4 linked regions of the Canis lupus familiaris genome follow. The protein of the gene in region 3 interacts with the protein of the main gene of each other region in a pairwise test. Links are inferred from orthologs where the notes say so. Each region holds a gene or a part of one and is shown on either strand. Other genes may lie near its edges. The genes, in order: EPB41L3, TNFAIP3, YWHAG and FAM53C.

Region 1 (4,902 bases), on a different chromosome or scaffold from region 3:
CTCATGAATAGATAAATAGAATCTTAAAAAAAAAAAAACGAATCACTTAATTTCAATGAGTAGTAAGTAGAAGCTAGTTCAGGTCCTTTGAAAAAGTTGCTAATGTATATACTTTTTAATAACATTAATAGTATTTTCATGTTAAAATTATGTCTTTTAACAGCGTGTCCTTCACAGCTAATACAAAGTCAAAATTCCCTCTTAACACTAATTCTTTAATTATGTGATTTGCTCTAATTCCATAAGCATGACCAAGGAATGTACCACAGATGTGAATGTCATATTAGAATCAGGTTTTTTAATGCAATCTACCAGTATCTTGAATGTATTTTATTTGTGGTAAAAAGAAAATTCTAACTCGATTCCTTTGTCATTTCATATTTAATATACCCAGAATGTAGAATGTTTCCCCTTCCTATCCAGCCACTCTTCCTAAATAATCCTAAATAAACCTTAGGGCGGGGCACTAGTTTTACAATCAACTTTTGACATTTTTTTTTTAGTAGGGTTTTTTCTTTGGACCATGTTTGTCTTCCAGTGTGTTTCTGCAGTAGGTAGCAGTGATTCCCCATAACTTTCTCCTATTACTTCTTATACCTTTCTTCCCAAAGGGGTTTGCTCCTCTAAATAAGCTTTCTCAGAGGGCTATCTGCCAATTGTTTTTTAATGCTTTTCCTCCCAAAATCTATTTAGTTTTGCATTGGACTCTTTGGATTCTATCTGCATTCACAGTCCTAAATCAAACTTTCCGGGGGGGGGGGGGGGGGGTGGAGAAACACACACACACACACACACACACACACCCTTCCCATGTATTTCATCTCCCAGACTTGAAATTCTCTTCCTATTCCCTCATTCCTTACCTCCCACCTGTTTATTCTTGCTGTCAGTTCTCTCTGTTGGAATCTGATACAACCTTTGAAACAACTGTTTTCAGTGTTGCTGTAGCTGTTCCATAACGACCCTAGCTCCTGTGCAACAGAGTTACTGTAGCAGGCCTGAGATGCTGTCCTCAGAAAGTCTTCCTTGCAAGGTTGACCCTTGGCTGGTGTCTGGAAACTTGGATTGGGGCAGAGTCCCATGCTTCTCAACTGAGGAGGGTGGCTCACTGTACCCAAACTCTTACTAGAAAACAATATGGTCCATGCCACACATGTGCTTTTCTTCTGGAAGCCTGGAGTTTTTCTAGGTGCGAGGTAGAGGCTATCTCTGACCAGCCCCCAGTAAACATCCTGGGCAGAGTCTGTAACAGCCTGCCAAGGTAGACAGCATTTTACATGTGTTGTCACAGTCTGTTGCTGTTGGAATGAAGCATATCCTATGTGACTACCCTGGGAAAAGACTCTTGGAAGCTCCTGCTGGGTTTCCAGGACGTTGCCCCATGCACCTTCTCCCGTTGCTGAGTTTGCCTTGTGTCATTTCACTGCAATACATCTTGGCTGGGAGCACAACTATATGCAGAATCCCATGAGTCCTCTTAGCAAACCACCAAATCTAGCACCGGTGACACAACTCGTATGGCCTGTTACATTATTTCTATCCTCCTTGGTCCACCTTGTAAAAGCACTTCAGAACCTGCCTTTACCATTACTTCTCTAGGCGCTTCCACTGGATTCCAAAGTGGACCCACTGCTTCCGACAGATCACTGCCGGCACAGGAGCGATGGCAGTTTGTAGGGGAAGCTCTTGGCCTGGTGTGAAGACACCTGGTTTCTGTTCTTAGATCTGCCATTCCCTATTTAATTTAGAGCAATCCACAACCTCTCTAGGTTTTAACGTCCTTACACATAAAATGTGAATAAAACTACAGATAACGCGATATCCTGGCGCAAGATTTTGGCTTTCTGCACAAATAATTTCTTACCAATTTGCAACTAAAAGGTACATTGTATCAAGGTTCATTGTAATGCAAAACTGCTCTTTTAAGGCATCCTTATTTTCTCTGTACCTTCCACTATGAAAAGTTCTTTTTGTATAGTGAAAGATTTTTGCACTATTTTTTTTTTTTTGGCAAAAATTTCTGGATTCACTGGGGAAAATATGTGAGAAATGTTTCAGAATTAGAGATTTAAAGGAAAATATACTACAAAAATAGGAATAATGCTCAAACTATCGCACCAAAATTTCCTGGGTAATGGTATTATTTTTGAAAGTTGCTGTCAGAAAAGAAAAGAATGAAGAGAAATGAACAACCCAGGAGTTGGCTGGAAAGGGGCTGAATTTCTGTTCAGCCAGGGCCCCATGTCCCTCATAATGAGACAGCTGACATAGATAGGTAATAGCCCCTTCTCAAACATCAAGGGACTCCCTTTGTAAAACAACATCAAGATCAGAAAGTTTCAAGAGCCCACTGAAAAATCTCTCTGAATTTACTGCAGTGTCTGTATACACACTTTGCTCATTACTCACTTCCAATACCAATGATTGAAATTCATTTCCCAATGATCGACAAAAGGCCTACCAAAGCCACTGGGGGAGCCATACATAAGAATCTTGAGCCTGAAATAGGTTCCCAGGTTGACTGATGGGCAGCTCCAGTCTTCTGAGGTCTCATCCAAGTTCATGTTTTCATGAAGCTGTTTTTACAATTGCTTACAAAATATATTCCAGTTATGTTTCACTATTCTTCTGTGTAATTCTTGGCACAAAAGAAAACACATGATCATTTGTGAATTGCAAAGGCTAAGCATAAGTGCAGGGCATTCTTGTCTTTGGAGAGCATTCAGACTTTTCTCTTAACCACTTCCTTAAATTGAAGCTGCCATCACAGCTAAAAGGTGTTTCCAAACTCTTAAGCATGTGTCCTTAGAGCAAACAATTTCAGACGAATCGGTCGGTCAAACTGATGTGTACTAAGGACAGAGGGAAAGCTGAGATGACATTGTAGCTAACCTGCATCTGTTCTTAATTCCACATTATCCTCCTAAAAACTGCAAAGGAGAGCATTCAAACCAGAAAAAAAACAAAAACAAACAAAAACCCAAAGAACCATTAGCATAGCATTGAATGAACAAACATTTTAAAAAGCATCCTGCACAAAAAATTATTTCCACATTTCCCTGGTTGAATTTACACAAACTATTGCTTCAATATTTATCAAATTCAGAGTTATCATCACTAAAAATGGTCACTTGTCATAGGTATACTTAATGGTAGGAATACAAAAACGTTACCTCCAAATCCTAAGAGGGACTTTGAACACAGATAGAGACAGATGAAAGATGGCATGCTGCAGTGCAGCAATTTCAGAAGTACTGGAGCACTGACATTCCAGCTTCCATTCCTCCAGGAATATTCTCAGTGAGACACACAAAGATGCAGGGTGGTAGAGGCGATTGTTTTTACTATCATATCCAGGTTCTCTCCTTGAATTCAACACTCAAAAAGACAAGGCAGGAACAGGAAGCAGTAACTGCATGGCCTCTAGTGGTGCCCTTCAGATTCTTCCTCTAATATCTTCCCTGGTCCCCAGTGTAGCTTTTCCGCGTGACTGCACAGCAGTCTCAAAAGTGCTGTGGAAGTAGCTTCCAGCAGCAGGCAGGCAGAAAGCCTAAAGTGGCATAGGGCTTCTTGACCACTGGCTCCCAAGCATCATCAGAGAATCTTCGGCTTGCTAGAATTTTCAGTTTCATGATGGATATGGATATTTCATTAATCCTTAGTTTTCCTGATTGCCATACTAATACACAAACATCTACAGACAGCTGTTGAGACCAACATAATAATTATACTGATATTTTTCCCTTCATTTTGCCAAGCACCCCCACTGAAGTTCTTCCTTTTCACGTTCTTTTTCTATGTTTCCTCCCGAACAGTATGAGTTCATCTAACTAGCTTTATTCCCTAAGGTACAACATTAGCAGGACCACACTGGTCATACCAATAAGCAAAGATTCTCCACTAAGCAAATGGGGCAAAATCTGACAAATTACTCCACCAAATGATAGCTTCAGAGCAAGCGAGCCTAAGTAGGGAGTAAGAACTAACTTTTTTTTTTTTTACTATCTATTATGTTATGTACCAATATTCACAGTACCATACATAAACATTAATTCAATCCTAAAATCAACACTATGAATGCTGTATTATCATCCCCACTTTACAGATGCAAGAATGGTCCCAAAATGATCATGTAATTTGCTTGACATCTTCTGCAAACAAATAAGCAAATCACAAGCAACCTATCATAAAAGCGATCAAAAGATATGAATACACATTTCATGGCTGAACAAACGCATGTGCCAATAAGCATGAGAACTGGCATTCAGCATCATTAGTAGTCAGAGCGAGGTAAATTAAAACCCCAATGAAATAACCATGTTACACACATTCAAGTAGGAAACATGAAAAATCTAACAGTTCCAAGAGTTGAAAGATGGTGGATCCACATTCCAATGAGAGTTAAAATTGGGGCACCCACCTTTGAGAACAATTTGCAACTATCTCCTAATATTGAACATTGATACTCCCTACAATCCACTAATTCAACTCCTACTCAAGAGAGATTCCTGCACATGTGCGTGAAGAGTTATGTTCAATAATGCTGAACAGCTCTTTTCACAACAGTAAAATCCTGAAAACACCCAAATGCCCATCAGCAAGATAGGATGTAAATATGGTATATTTTACACAATAGAATATTAAATAGAACAGAAGAGATGTAGTACAGAATATCTCAACATAGATGAATCTTCTCAATAAACAGTCTCAAAGGATTACACACAATATTAGGTTCTTTTAGAAAGTTAAAAACCACTATAATCAAAAGTTTCATAATACTAAAGAATGGAATAAGGTTACATATAAAGGAAAGTAAAGGAATAACAAACATGAGACTCAGATGAGGTCATTGTAGGTGGAGATGGGACAAAATGGTGGTGGTGGTGGTGGGGGCCAAATGGT
Region 2 (4,967 bases), on a different chromosome or scaffold from region 3:
CAGCCACTGGGTCTTCGGAGCTCTGAATGCCAGTGACGGGCACAAGGTGGCCCTGACAAGTCCTTAGCTTCTCCCTTAAGACCACTGCTGAGCAGCCCTGGCTTTTAGGCAAAGCCTTAATTTATCTCTTTTAAGCCCTCCCACCCTACACTGCAGAATAAATGTTTTGTGGAAAATCTCACAATTTTATGTTGTCACGTAGGCTGCTGATTAGAGTTTCCTCTTTAGCCCCGAAGAGAAATATTTATCAAGAGCTTATTTATAAAAATGTATTATAATATTTATAAAAGTTAAAACTGAATATCTTAGAACCAATGAAAAAGCCTATTTCCAGTAAGAAGCTTTGCAATTTTAACGGTCAATGATAAAGTCTTTCAGAACCTCTCCACTGAACTTCACAACATCAGAATAGGACATAGAATTATAATAATAATAATAATAATAATACAAGAATAAATTTTACACTTCCGAGAGCAGGCATTAGATTTCAATTATTTCAACTTAACTACATTTATTATCATTGTCCAGGTACCAACACTCAAATGCATTTCCCACCCTGTCTTCACCCTGGAATCCTGAAACATAATCTGCTGGTAGAAGGAAATAAAAGTCTGGAAATGGGCAAGGAAAGATGTTTCAGCCAGGGGGATGCTCATGATAAATGAAGGAAGCGGGGGGAGGGGGGTGGTGCAAAACCCAGCATCTACAACCCATGCCAATAGCGTAGGATGTTGTGAATTGATGCAACGTGGGATCTCTGCAGTGTGGAGCTGTGTGGAAAGCCACAAGCCTTAGCAGGGTGCCCCAACATACATCTTGGTTTCCAAGATGAAGGCAAAGATGGTTTTGGAGCATGAAGACATTCCCTAGGAAGTTTCATGGAGATTGCTAATCTCACTCCTGCACCATACTATTTGCCAGGGCAAGCTTCTAGTTGAGGAAGACTTGAAACCTGTGTAAGAGTGAGAAGAAACCTAGATTTTAGGGAAGCCATTCCTAGGTGGGTCTAGGCTCTCTTAAAGCCATTGATGAAGTGATTTAAAACTTGTGGTCCAAAATAGAGAGGTTAAAGTAGATGACCCAAGGTTGCTTCTGAGGAGTTTTCTGGTGATAGTTTTGGACCAGGATTCCAAATCTGATTGTCAATGAGGCCTGGGAGAAGTTATTCTCTGGGCCAGTTGGTAATCTTTCCTTCAGTTCCCTGAAGGTGGAACTGGGCAAAATTATTGCAGGGCACAAGCATAATGAAGCAATAAAAACATTACACCCATTTCCACTTTGTGGCATGGCCAGTCTCACAATCACTCATTCATCTGTCCATTGCTTAAAAAGCACTGCCTGCTCACCTGCTGAGAGCCATGCTGGATGCTGGGACTAAAAATCACAGGTGCCCTTATTCCCTGTCCACAGCCATGGCAACACAAGCACGGGTCCTGCTCAGGTTCCACACCACCCAAGGCAGACAGCTTTGCCTGGAAGCCAGATCTTCCAACACCTGCCCCTTGCAGTTCCCACAACACCATCCCTGTGCCTGCTGCTGCCAGACGGGAAGAGGCCGGAAGCAAAAAGATTTGAAACAAGCTAGGTGTTGCCTTTTGAGTTTTCCGAATCTTCTCTTAATCTCTTCTAATTTAAAGATCTTTCAGCAAAGACCTCAAATAGCACAAGCGCTCTTTGCCATATGTAAGACATGCAAATGTCAGTACTGTATAGCCCTGGGTCATCTCATTCATAGTTTTAGCCTTGCACACACTGTGGAATCGATCGCCTCCTGAAAAGAATTAGAACCCACCAGCCAAGTTCCCAGTTCTCGGACTTCTCCACGTTTAAGATGAAAGAATAAATTTTCCTGACCTATAACTGTAACGTCCTTACAGGTAAAGACATATGCTATCACCCTTACCATTTCTTTTACATTTGTCACCTCACTGACTTTTTTTTTTTTTTTTTAAATCAATAAATGCCTCATCGAATTTTTGGTAACTCTCACTCCTAAACTCCAAAACTTGTACACAGAATTGTTAAAAAGAGAAAAAAAAAAAACAAAAAACAAAGAAGCACCTTAGACGATGGGAATGGAGCTATAACCGGCTGCGTAACAACTGCAGACACTAGTGCTAAGGTCCAGGGGACTGATGAACCACGGTCCTCCCCAAAGGCTGCCCTGAGACACTTGACCAGACCAGCTTTCCAAGGAAAGAAGATCAGAGGCGGGGAGAACTGAAAACAAAGCGGTCTCAAAAGCGCTGAGCTCCTTCCTTACTTAATACCACTGCTTTCCTGAGAGGCCAGGTGGCAGGATGTGGGACGACCCGGGCTGACAACGACCGTCTGACTGTGGGGTAGGGGCTGGGGCAGGGGCCTCCAGGTCGCCGTCCACTGGAGCACCCGAAAAGCCGGCCAACGTCCCGCTTGAGCATGCACACTCCTCGCGCACTGCGGCGCCTGCAGCAGCTCAGCACCGGCCCTCCGCCCACCCGCCTCCCTGCACTGGGCTGCGGGGTCTGCAAGCCGACCCAGGGCAGGCTGGCTGGCCCGGGCCCCCACGCCCCCCCCGCCCGGCGGGTGGCCTGGCTCTGCACCCGCCGGGAAGAAGCCACGGCGGGTCGGCTCTGCAAGGTCTCCGTGTCCGCGAGCATCCAGAGCTTGATCGAAAAATAAAAAAGGCACGCAAAGGGGCAAAGCACCGAGGACCACGCGACCTGGCCGTCCGGGGGCTCCTCTCCAGCCGCCTGCTGCAGCTTACGTTCCTGGCAGCATCTACAAGGAACAGCTGGCCGGAGGGCTCCCGAGCTGTCACCCCAGCGTCGTGCGCGGCCGCCTCGACTCCCAGCACTTCACATCCCGCAGTGAGCGCCGACGGCCGACGAGCTCCGGGCCGGGCCCGGGCCGACAAGCTCCCGCCCGCGAGGAGCTGCCGGTGACGCACCCGCGCAGCCCGGGCCCCGCGACGCCGCTGGCAGAGGCACGGGCACGCGGCGGTTACCTGTCCGGCCGCGCGATCCTCTTCCAGAGTCCCAAGTCCGGGTCAGGTCCGGGCCGCGCGGAGGAGGCGCCCCATGGACGCCGGGGCTCGGCGCTCGCTCGCCGCGGGGCTGTGTGGCTCGCGCCCGCCGCCGCCGCCGCCGCCGCCGCCGCCGCACTTGTCCCGGCGGCTGCTGTCACCGCTCCGCCCCCGCGGGCTCCGAGCGCGCTGCACCGGCCCGCTGCGAGGACTGCAGACTGCCAGTTCTCTTTTTCCCTTTCTGTTTTACCGCCGGCGGAGAACGGGGATTTCCACCCGGGGACTTTCCAGTCACGTGACGCCCGGGCCGGCGCCGAGCCCCGCGGTCGCCGGCCGCCAGGGGGCGCAGGGGGCGCAGGGGGCGCGGGCGGCGCAGGAGGCCGGCGGCGCCCCGCCCCGCCCCGCCCCGCCCCGCCCCCCCGCGCGAGAAACTCCTGAGCCCCGCCCCCGGGTGTCCCCGCGTGAGTCACCTGGGCATTTCGGAAGCTGGCCCAACGTCACATCCATGTGGAAATCGCGGTGATGGGAACTGGAAATGAAATAGGTTCTTTTTTCTCAGCCGTTTTTCTGCAGAAAATCACCAACCGTGGAGAACAATAAGGGAAATAATAAAGAAAGAAAACCCTAAAAACCACCCGGGCGTCCGGGACCGCAGCCTTCGGGGCTGGGTTGGAAAAGCTAGGGCTGTGCACGTGATGAGCTCGTCGGGGAGCGCCCTACTCTGGGCCCCGGTGGGGATTTCACAACCCTCCGTGCGTCCCCATCCCAGCGTTCTGCCGCCCAGACGGCGGCCTGTTGGGGGTGACCTCCTGAGGCCCCACAGCCTTGAAATTTGCAGGAGCAAAACCTATCTTAGGTGAAGTTGGGAATCAGAGCAACTATCAGCCCTGTTCTGCACTTTACTGATTTCCCTTTCTCCCTTCCTGCACACCAGGTGCCCAGGGGGCTCGGCACGCAGGAACATTTCGGTTTAGAAATCATTTCTAGTCCATTATTACTGTCCTTGCGTGGCCCCCCTAAGGCCCTATTAGGAGCTCTTTTTCATGACCTGACAATTAGTTCAGGCCAAGGTGTCAAGGGCTGATAATACATTTTACCCACCCACGACCCCCACCCCTTATTAAATAGTGTGGTAACCCGCAGTCTTTACCCAAAGGACGTCCTGTGGAAATAGGTGTCAGCCACTTGGACAGTGGAGGTGCCTGAATTGCAGAGGGAGAGGCAGGCACTTTGACTGGCTAAGAGTCCCCCTTGGCGCATTTCTTAGAATAGCTAAACTAGAACCAGATTGAAATATTCTGTGCATTGTCCCCTTCTAGACTTACTTATACTAGTTGGGCCTCGTATCCCAGTTTTGGAATTAGAAAAATATGCTTTCCTCTCCAGTAAGGACCTGCAGAGACTGGATGGAGGACTGGATGAGGACCAGGTGGCACATTTTTGGCAAAGAGACACTCAGAGCGGAGAGTCAGAAGTGGCCAAGCTTCCAAGGCTGGTGCTGGCCATTTGAAACCAATGGCTGGGACTTTTGACAACTCCAAACCTCCTGGCATTTCTTCTTATACCTGCTGGTATAAGCTGTTCATTCACAAATGTTTTTAGCTACCAACTCTCAAACAACGCATAGGGAATATGATAATAATAATGTTTATTAAGTCCTTACTATATGCCGCTCTCTAGGCTAAGTGTTTGAAAGGCACTCTGCCACTTAAGCCTCAAAACAACTCCACTTTGAAGCTATGAAATTAAAGTGTAAGAAGCTTAAGCCATTTACCCCAAGTCTACACCGTCGGTCAGTGGCAGAGCCGTGATTGGAACTGGGCCTGTTTACTCCAAGGTAAACGCTGTTGGGTCTTAAATATTACTCTCAGAAAAGATCCTCCAAGACTTAAAATCTCAAGGCCATTGTTTCTACCCTGGCCCCCAGCCTCACAAACACACAGCAGTCACTAAGTCAAAGGTG
Region 3 (4,817 bases):
GATTGAAAAAATTAAAAGGCCACACCCCTTTCAATGCCCTGCAGCCTCGCTCTACCCCTTTGCTGGAACACACCCAAGCTGATGGAAGAAAGCCTTTGCTCTGGCATTCTTCCTTCCTATAGAAAGCAGAACACCCCCACACCCAGGGACATGATTCACGTGGTGGGAGCAGTGTAACAGCTGCCATCTGCAACAGCACTACTAAGAGCTCAGGCCACACCAACTGGAGGTGCCTGACCCCCTCAGAGGGACTAAAAACGCAAGACTATTTATGAACATTTTCAACACAAAGAACCCCCTCATCTAAGACTTCATGAGACCTCCAACAATACTGGGTGCCTCACTGAGAGACACAGCCGGGCATGTGATCCCATTTTCATTTAGACCTACACCCCAAAGCTCAAAAGTTTCGTAATTTGCCCAAGGACCAAAAGAAGCCATCATTTAACTCAGCCCTGTTCTTCTCACAAATCATACTCCCTCCACCCCTGTAAGGCTTTTAGAGATCCACCTGAAGGTGCCCTTTCTGTAGGAAAAACATTGGAGGCCCAAAAGGTACAATCATTTTTCAACATCAGTAAACCCAGGTCTGACTCTCAGCTTACAGGCACTTTCCCAGTCTTGTCCCTGGCCCCCAATCTAACCACATTCTGTGAGTAGAAAGCACGCACATCCAATCAGCCCTTGGAAAGCAAAGGGAAATTAAAGTCATTTAAATAAAACTAAGTAGCACTGACATCAGATCTGTAAGTTTATTTGCTCAATGTACGACAGCTACATAATGACTCACATTCATGATATTCCATCACTGAGGAAAACTGCTAAGAATGGTCCGTGTGTGAAATAATTCCTTAGAGAAACACGGAGTTGGAAAAATAATCACTGATTAGACCTTAAAAATAGTTCACTGCATAACATGACAAAAAAGCACAAAGGCTCATTCAGAGAACATAGTCGTTGTTCTCCTACACTGTAATAGTTATAATTTCACCATGACAAACACCAGACATTAAGATTAAGCTAACACTGGTGTTTCTTTTGCTTCCCCCCCCCCTTAAAAACAAAATATATAACTGCATGTCACTATAGCAACATCCAAAACAGATCAATTTGTTACGATCACTATTTGGTAGAGCAAACTGTACCCCCAAAAGGAAAAATTAAATTAAAAAAACTTTAAAAAATTTGAAGACTTAATTTTTTGTCATAGGAATACATAACACCTACAGTATAAGTTAATAAATTTCAAGCTACTGTATAGAAATACAACACTAGCATGCACAATATTGTATCAATAGAATAATGGAGGAGTAATCATTTCACTGGAGAGACAGTATCAGAGGCAAGTGCATTTCTTTAAAAATAAAGAAAAGAAAAGAAACCATTCAAGCTGCTTAAATATCAAGTTTCCCATTCCCTCATTTTTAGCCCTCAGGTATAATTTTATCTTGCATTATTCTAAAAAGCAGCCAGAGCCAAAGCTGAAATTTAAAAGAAAATATAGGTTTTGTAATTCCAGTAAATCATTTCCAAAGGCTACAAGAAAGGACACAACACTGCTCACTGGACATGAAGATAAGTTAAGGAAAGCCCCACCTAACCCCCCCCACCCCCACCCAAATCATTTCCCATCCATGGCATTTACTTTAGGCCCCGGTGATGGCACAAAAGCTGTACAGCTCTCTTCTAGTTCTGCTAGGGTTCAGTTAATTGGGACTTTTGCTCTAGCGTATGGAGGGAACCTTCTAAGGAAAGTCACGCTGGGTAAACTGTGCCATGCTACAGGGCATCATCGTTCTATTCTTCACTGTCACCTGGATCCTGTCAAACGTATTCATTTCCCAACTGTAAGTTCAATTTTGGTAAACAGCAAAAGCAACTGTCAGTGTTTCCTCAATTATTACTCATACCTCCTTGACTAAATAACCCAAAGGAACAGACAAAACAAATCTGGCGTCTTAACCCAGATCTCGGGAGTTTACACTGTTTCTGATCTTGTAAAAAAGGCTGAACACACACTCAACAGGTCATGTTTTCAGACAGATTTTTTCCGAAACAAGAATGAAGGACCTAAGGCTAACTGAGAACAAATTTGTGGAAACAACAATGTAGTTTCCTTGGATTCCAGAGCATGCGTCAACTGCACTAGAGAGAAAGGATTCTCCCGTTTCAATGCTTTCATTAAAAGAAGAAAAAAAATGTGTAGAAAAACTCTTGGTCAAATAGGAGTGATTTATTATCTGATAATGATTTTAGTTCATCTTCCTACAACAACTGCCTGGGGAAGGAGTGTTTTCAGGGAGGAAAAACAGACATGCTTATGAGGCTCCCGAAACTGGACAGAATGCTTATGAATAGAAGAGCTCTTCCTTTTGGATTTGTCTACCAGTAAGCTTCTAGCACCTGAATTTCCACACACTGCACAAACTTCCTCAAGATGACTGCCCAGCTTCTATAGCTCAATGGCATCTCCACCCTATAAAGAGCCACCAGCAGAAGGTCCAGTGGGGAACACTCAAGTCAAGAGTGATGGCAGCGTGATCCCTGAGGAAGGAGCTGTGGCAGCTTAAAAACCAGGAGTTCTCTGAAAATATCAACACAATAAATGACATACAGACCTGAATTTTCTCTATTTTTGTGGTGTTTAACGTTTCTATTAAAGTGATTAATCATTTTTGTGGTGGATTTGAGAGTTAAGAGGAAAGAAGGACAAAAATCCCACAGCCACCTGCCAAGCACCTATTAACCAAAACCTAGGGTAGCTTTGATTCTCCTCAGGCAAGCCTTTTGGCCCAGGAGATAGCGAACAGCAAAACCAACCTGGATAAGGCTGACTAAGGATGTAAAACCAAAATAACTAGCAAAGAAAAAGACACAATCAATGGCTTGATGTTACGTATGGCTGTAATGGAGAATACTGTAAACTGCAATTTAGTGTTAATACTGTCAGCTAATCCAAGACTTCAGGAAACTGGCAAGGCCTAAACCATAAGGATAAACACACCTTATGTTCCAAGTCTGTCAGTTTGGGATTTCAATTAGTCCATGGCTGGTCGAGTACACCCTGAAAAAAAAATGCACAGCTAAAATAGATGAGATAGAAAGTACCCAAAACATAAGACAAGAGCGTCTGTACACACAAATCCTTACTGGAACCACAGAACTTACTGAATGAGGGCCATCTCGTTTCAGTTTTCTTTTCGTCTTAAAACCCTATTCTCTAGCAATAAGTTAAAGACAGACCGCTCCACCTGCATTCATCTACAGAACAGTCCATACGCCAGTGTGAGGCTGCTATTTCAATACCAGCACAGCTAGCCTGACTTTCCACTAGTGGTATTTTGGCAAAAATGTCAAAAGAGGCGATCAAAGACAGGACAGGTCGTGGGCTTCTCCCTAGGAAGGTCGTCCCTCCCTTTCCCTCCCCCACCCGACCCCCAGCTCATGGGAAAAAATAAAGACTGCAGTAGTAGCATCAGCGGGCGCTGCCAGTCCACCTGGGGGCCTTAATTGTTGCCTTCGCCACCGTCGTCATCTTGCTGATCGCTTGTCCAGAGCGTTAGGTTGTCACGGAGGAGCTGCATGATGAGAGTGGAGTCCTTGTAGGAGTCCTCGTTCAGAGTGTCGAGCTCAGCGATGGCGTCATCGAAGGCGGTCTTGGCCAAGTGGCAGGCTTGCTCCGGGGCATTCTGGATCTCGTAGTAGAAAACGGAGTAGTTAAGAGCCAGGCCTAATCTAATGGGGTGAGTAGGCTGCATGTGCTCCTTGCTAATCTCATGAGCTTCACTATAGGCCTTCTCAGAGGACTCCACGACGGTTGCCCGCTTCTCTCCAGTGGCAACTTCAGCCAGGTAGCGGTAATAGTCCCCTTTCATCTTCAGATAAAACACTTTACTCTCGTACTGGGTCTCACTGCAATTCTTGATCAGGTAGTTATCCAGCAGGCTCAGCACATCCTGACATACGGCTTCCAGCTCCTTCTCGATTTTTTCACGGTAAGCACGGACCATCTCAATCTTCTTCTCATTGCCATCTGCAGATGTCTTCTGCTCAATGCTACTAATGACCCTCCAGGAAGAACGACGTGCCCCAACGACATTCTTGTAGGCCACAGACAGGAGGTTTCTCTCTTCATTGGACAGTGGCTCATTTAGCTCTGTCACCTATAAGAAGAGAATGAAGAAGAGTCGTTATGGTCTGGATGATGTCGCTTGGGTTGATCACATCTTTATGCCACTACAACACTAACAGATGCACCAGGTGACTAACGTGATGGACAGAAAGAGCAGGGAGGCTGTGTGGGTGCACGGGAGGGGAGGGACACAGCAAATGACAAAGAAGGAAAATACTGCAGCTGGATCAGTGATGCCTGAAGTCCCCACTTCCTCCCTAGAAAAGGAAACACATTTTTTACATCTGTTCCATCAAAGGTCTATCAATCAGGTCAAGCTCTTAGATGTCAAAAACAAACTTTGATATAAATTACAAAAGGGCAACAGTTCTCTCCTGTAACGTTACATAAATACAAATCCTGGACATTTTAAGCATAAATGGCTGTTATATACCTCAACACTTTCCTTCTAACCTTGTCCGGTCTAATCAGTTCCATCCCTTTTCAGTGAGAATATTCTGAAGTCAAACTCAAGTTGCCTTCTGAGAAATGAGGCAGCTTTTCTGCCTTGTGTTAAGACTATATGAATTACAAACCTCAGGAACGGAAATCAAAACTGGGGCCATGTCTGGACTCAGTTCTAACACTGAGGCATGTCAGCAACTGGAAAACAGATTTGTTGCAGGCTGAACACCATCAGCGATAC
Region 4 (4,456 bases), on a different chromosome or scaffold from region 3:
GAACAGATCCACTGTGTAAAGCAAAATGAACCACTTCTTAAAAAGGCCTGTCCCAGGGTCATGGGCGCTTAGATTGGGAAGCAGGATGACAGTTTCAACTAATTTAACTTTCCAGATCTTACAGTGATAGAATTCAAATAGACTCTCTGTAGACCCTCTCCCCTAAGGATCGCACCCCTAGGGCTTTGGGGAAGCCAGGGTAGAGGCAGAATTACTGCCCTTACTTCTTCAGCTTGGAGCTTGCAGAGACCGCACTGGTCTTGCCAGTGGCCTACTGGAAGCTGGCATGGCCAATATGCAGCAGAGAGCCCAGGGATAAGGATGCCCCAGGAGAAAAAGAAGCTGGCATCAGGGAAATTATGGCCTAAAGAAGGAGAAGAGCCAAGGGAGGGATGAAACCAAGGATGGGCACCTCCTGGGCTCACAGATTCCCTGGATTCTCCAGAGAGCCTCTCTCAGGCCTCTACAGACCTGGGAGCTCACTGGTAATACATGGTAACGAGCAGAGGAGGAAAGCCCCGGAAGGGTAGAACCTCTAGAGCCAGAGGCTCAAGAAGAAATGGCCACCTCCTCTGGAGTGGAAGTGAGGAGACTGCAGGCTTGGTGACACTCCTATCTGACATGTGGGAAACCAAGAAAATGACAGGTTCAATTCCAGGAGGAAGAAAACATGTGGACTTTGGTCTTCTTCCCTAACATGAGAAACTGGATCCTAAGACACCCTGGAGGATCGATGAGAATGCCCTTCCTCCAATAAACAGGAAGGGCGGGTCCAATTCAGTTGTGCAGCGTCTAACCAAAGCTGGACAAAGCCTCACAAGCTACTTGGCAGCCACGTCAGTATGTATCTCCACTGGTGCCAGTCCTACCAAGGGTCCGGCAGCCATTAAACCCATCATTGCAGCCACCGGGACCTGCTGCCCCGGCTCAAGTTACGGGTGAGAAACAAACAAAAAGGAAATTCAACCCAACAACAAACTCCCAGCTGCTTCTCGTAGCCTTTGCTTTACACATCCTCAGCCAACCCTCACTGAGCCCCAACCTCACTGATGTCTCTCAGGTCCAATTAGAGGCAAATAAACATTTCCTGGCAGGAATGGAAGACAAGCAAACTGGTAAAAGCTGACATCCTCTTCCTCTTTCTCAAGCAAGTCAGAAAAGAGGTTAGACCTGGATCTTCTAACAACAGGTTTCCTAAAGTCTGCTTCCAAAGGGCAGTGCTGGGATGAGCTTACCCATGCTTACTTGACAAAGTAAGTCAACTTGACTGCCAATTCTGCTGCAGGTGGGCCTCAGATGATAAGGACCAATACAGAGCCTCCCCTCCATGTTCTTGACCCTTGAAATTCAGACAGTGAGGGGGAAAACGTCCCATCAATAGAGAGGGAAAGAGAAAGATGGACCCCTCTAACTCTGCCTCAGTTGCCGACATGCACTTACATCTACTTAAGAGACAAAGGCTGTATATAGCCTAGGCAATCTGATGAGGAAAAAAGGCCAGCTCAGAATCAATGTAAAGAGCCTTCTCCAGTCCTAATATTAGATCTGTCTAGGGGAGGGGATGGGCCTAAGAAAAAGACCATTAGCTGAGGTCACAGCTCTTAAAGACCCTGCCATACCCCAAAAGAGAATCCTCTGCAGAGCCAGTGGTGCTTATGGATTATAAGCCTGGTTCCAGAGCTACTTAGAAAAAAAGAAAAACTTGGTGCTATCCTCTTGACTCCTTGAGTAAGCCTGCTGTCCTGTGAAAATTCAAGATCCTGGGGGTATCATGATGCTCTGCTGTTAAGGAGCAACTGCCTTCCTTCCCTAAGGCTACGCAAACACACCTTTCCCCAAGTATACTCCCATGCACGCACACACTCTCACACAATTTCTCCGAGGAGGCTGAATGAACCCCCCACCCTGGCCAAATTCTAAGACACAAGTGCCCTTTGAAGCAAAGGGGCTAGTGAAATTCCCCGAGCTGGGGTCAGCAGACCCCTTCCTTCCCTGCCCACTGCTTTCTCGGTGGCAGGGATACTCACACTCAGGGCCGCCATGGGAAGGGTCTGCTCTGGGGCTGTCCCTCCCGCCACCAGCTCCGTTAATCTTGTCCCGGCCAGTCTCTTGGCATGGTCGAGCTTCCTGGAGCAAGAAGATTTCAGGCTGCCCTGAGTCGGAGCCCTCCACTCACCCCCATTCCCAGGCTGGGCCCCTGGCCTTGGGGCCTCGACACTTGTTAGTAGCCAGAGAGAGTCAGTCTGTGTGGCCCCAGGAAGTAGCCTCTCAGTTTTAGTTCTCCTCAATTAGATTCAAGTCCAGGTCCCCAAAGTCCTGCTGGCACAGTGTCCGCTTGCTCAGTGCCTGCCGCCCCCACCGCACGGCCCCCTCCTCCTCCTCTTCGCTTTCACTCAGCACCTGGGAGGAACCCCCAACGGGGCTGCAGGAAGCAGAGAGGTGCGGGGGGCTACAGGCCATGAACCACGGTGGAGAGATGCTGCTGCCTTCCCGGGCTGCTTCTTGGAGACAGAGACCTCCTGAGTATGGTTTCTGTCAAACAAACAACAAAGTTAAGAATGCAAAAAAAAAAAAAAAAAAAAAAAGATACCAACTTCCACAGAACCCTGGCCCAAGCTGGATTTCCAAGTGTCCTTCCTGGTTACCCTTGCAGGCAGGAGTTGTAGGCTTTAGGGTGAGGTATGTGAACTCCCAGATAACATTTGGAAAATTTTTAATTTTTCCAAATTCTTTGAGGAAATAGCTCATAATTTCTATCACATTCAAAATTAGGAGCTCATTTATAAGCTTCATGTGGGCAGAACATTTTCTGGATGTTTTACAATACTGTGAGTGCCTAGTCACAACCTGGTACATGGCAGGTATTCAGTAACATTTGCTGACTCGTTGGAGGAATGACACGATGAATAAGCAGGTAGATTCTCAAAGAGGTTTGTGACCCAGGAGACTAGAAGGAAGAATATGAAGAGTCGGCAAGTGCATACAACAGCCGTATTCACACTGGGAAGTCAAAATGTGTTTGCTGTACATGAATGATGCAGCAACCCATTCTGCGAAGCCCTCACAGACCCAGGGGAAGCTGTGAAGGACAAGTGGCAAACGAGCCCTGAGGTCAAGAAGGGGCAGGGCACTAATGATGGGACTTGTATTGCTTATGCATCCTCAGAGTGCAAGGAAAGTGCCCTTGGCAGAACAATTGGGAATCCCTGTTGGAAGATTTAACATGGGTCTCATCTCAATTTCTTTAGAACCCCCAGGCCCAAGGAGTGACACAGGACATGAGACCTTGAGTACTAAATTGGGTATAGTCCTGGGCAACTAGGACGGTAAATCACCCTGGTGAAAGCTCAGTCAGTTAACGTTATACTCTTGATCTGAGCTCAGGCCTTGATCTTAGGGTCCTGAGTTCAAGCCCTGTGTTGCCTACTCAAACTTAAAAAAAAATTTTTTTTAAATTAGAAAGGAACCTGCCAGTTGTACATGGAGCTCGAGGATGGCTCTCCGTGAAAATGCAAGTCTCCCTCCTCCCAACCAAGCTTCCCTAGTTCTGCTGGTCCCACCTGATTCATCTTGTCAAAGTCCAAAGAAGGCCGCAGCCGCCGGGGGTCCTCCTCATGGCGCCGCTTGACTCCAGCTTTGCGGGCATCCAGATCACAGGGCTGTGAGCGGCTTCGGGGAAGATTGCGGAGGCCTCGAGGTCGCCAGGGCAGCTCTGGGGAGGATGCAGGGGAGCTCCGGGCAGAGGGCAAGAAGCGGCTTGCCTGAGGGCCCAGGCTGGGTGACAGGGAGAAGCGGCGCTGGGGTGGGCAGGGTGACAGGGACTCAGCATCACTCTCCCAGGAGCCACTTTGGGGGGAGGTGGCACAGGGTCGAGAGGAATCTTGGGCCAGAGCCAGGCTGAAGAAAGGGGGACTGTAGGGTCTGTGGGCTGGGGCACATTGAGAAGAGGCACTGGGAGCTTGGAGGAACCTGAGGCTGGAGACCCGCTTTGGGGGGCTCTGGTGAGGCACCTGCGGCCCACCCCCTCCACCACTGCCCCGGTGCTTGATGGGAGTCCACAGCTTGGAGGGGGCGGGCCGCCACACCGGCTGCCAGCGAGACAGGTCCACGGGCACTGAGAGTGAGCGGCAGTGCCTCTTGGATGGAGGGGCAGGGGGCACAGGAAGCTTCTCTGGGTCTGGGGGCTCAGGGCTTAGGACTTGGGAGAGGGGCTGCTCCTGTGGGGAACTTCCTGGGCTGGGTGGTCTGAGGTGCAGGCTCAAGCCTGAGGGGTGGTAGCTGAGGTTGAGGCTGTCCTGGAACTCAGCACAGGAACAGTGGGGCAGGCCCCTCCAGGAAGCACCTTCTGGAAAGCATTCATAGTAAAATAGTATTAATGATAGCATTTTTTTTTTTAAGATTTCATTTATTCATGACAAACACAGAGAGATAGAGAGAGGCAGAGACACAGGCAGAG

The links.
Region 1: the proteins of YWHAG (region 3) and EPB41L3 interact in binary tests that used the Homo sapiens proteins (3 or more experiments, as listed by UniProt). The link is inferred for Canis lupus familiaris from reciprocal best matches to the Homo sapiens genes YWHAG and EPB41L3.
Region 2: the proteins of YWHAG (region 3) and TNFAIP3 interact in binary tests that used the Homo sapiens proteins (3 or more experiments, as listed by UniProt). The link is inferred for Canis lupus familiaris from reciprocal best matches to the Homo sapiens genes YWHAG and TNFAIP3.
Region 4: the proteins of YWHAG (region 3) and FAM53C interact in binary tests that used the Homo sapiens proteins (3 or more experiments, as listed by UniProt). The link is inferred for Canis lupus familiaris from reciprocal best matches to the Homo sapiens genes YWHAG and FAM53C.

Annotation. Positions count from the first base shown.
Region 1 is NC_049228.1:72,026,822-72,031,723, forward strand, and holds the start of EPB41L3 (band 4.1-like protein 3), read right to left. Parts: upstream 3,381-4,902; 5' UTR 3,229-3,380; coding exon 3,174-3,228; intron 1-3,173. UniProt on the Homo sapiens protein: Tumor suppressor that inhibits cell proliferation and promotes apoptosis. Modulates the activity of protein arginine N-methyltransferases, including PRMT3 and PRMT5.
Region 2 is NC_049222.1:30,482,728-30,487,694, reverse strand, and holds the start of TNFAIP3 (tumor necrosis factor alpha-induced protein 3), read right to left. Parts: upstream 3,123-4,967; 5' UTR 2,987-3,122; intron 2,026-2,986; exon of another isoform or gene 1-2,025. UniProt on the Homo sapiens protein: Ubiquitin-editing enzyme that contains both ubiquitin ligase and deubiquitinase activities.
Region 3 is NC_049227.1:7,420,075-7,424,891, forward strand, and holds the end of YWHAG (14-3-3 protein gamma), read right to left. Parts: intron 4,164-4,817; coding exon 3,507-4,163; 3' UTR 734-3,506; downstream 1-733. UniProt on the Homo sapiens protein: Adapter protein implicated in the regulation of a large spectrum of both general and specialized signaling pathways. Binds to a large number of partners, usually by recognition of a phosphoserine or phosphothreonine motif.
Region 4 is NC_049232.1:25,996,495-26,000,950, reverse strand, and holds part of FAM53C (protein FAM53C), read right to left. Parts: intron 4,346-4,456; coding exon 3,561-4,345; intron 2,533-3,560; coding exon 2,275-2,532; 3' UTR 2,043-2,274; coding exon of another isoform or gene 2,028-2,042; 3' UTR 1-2,027.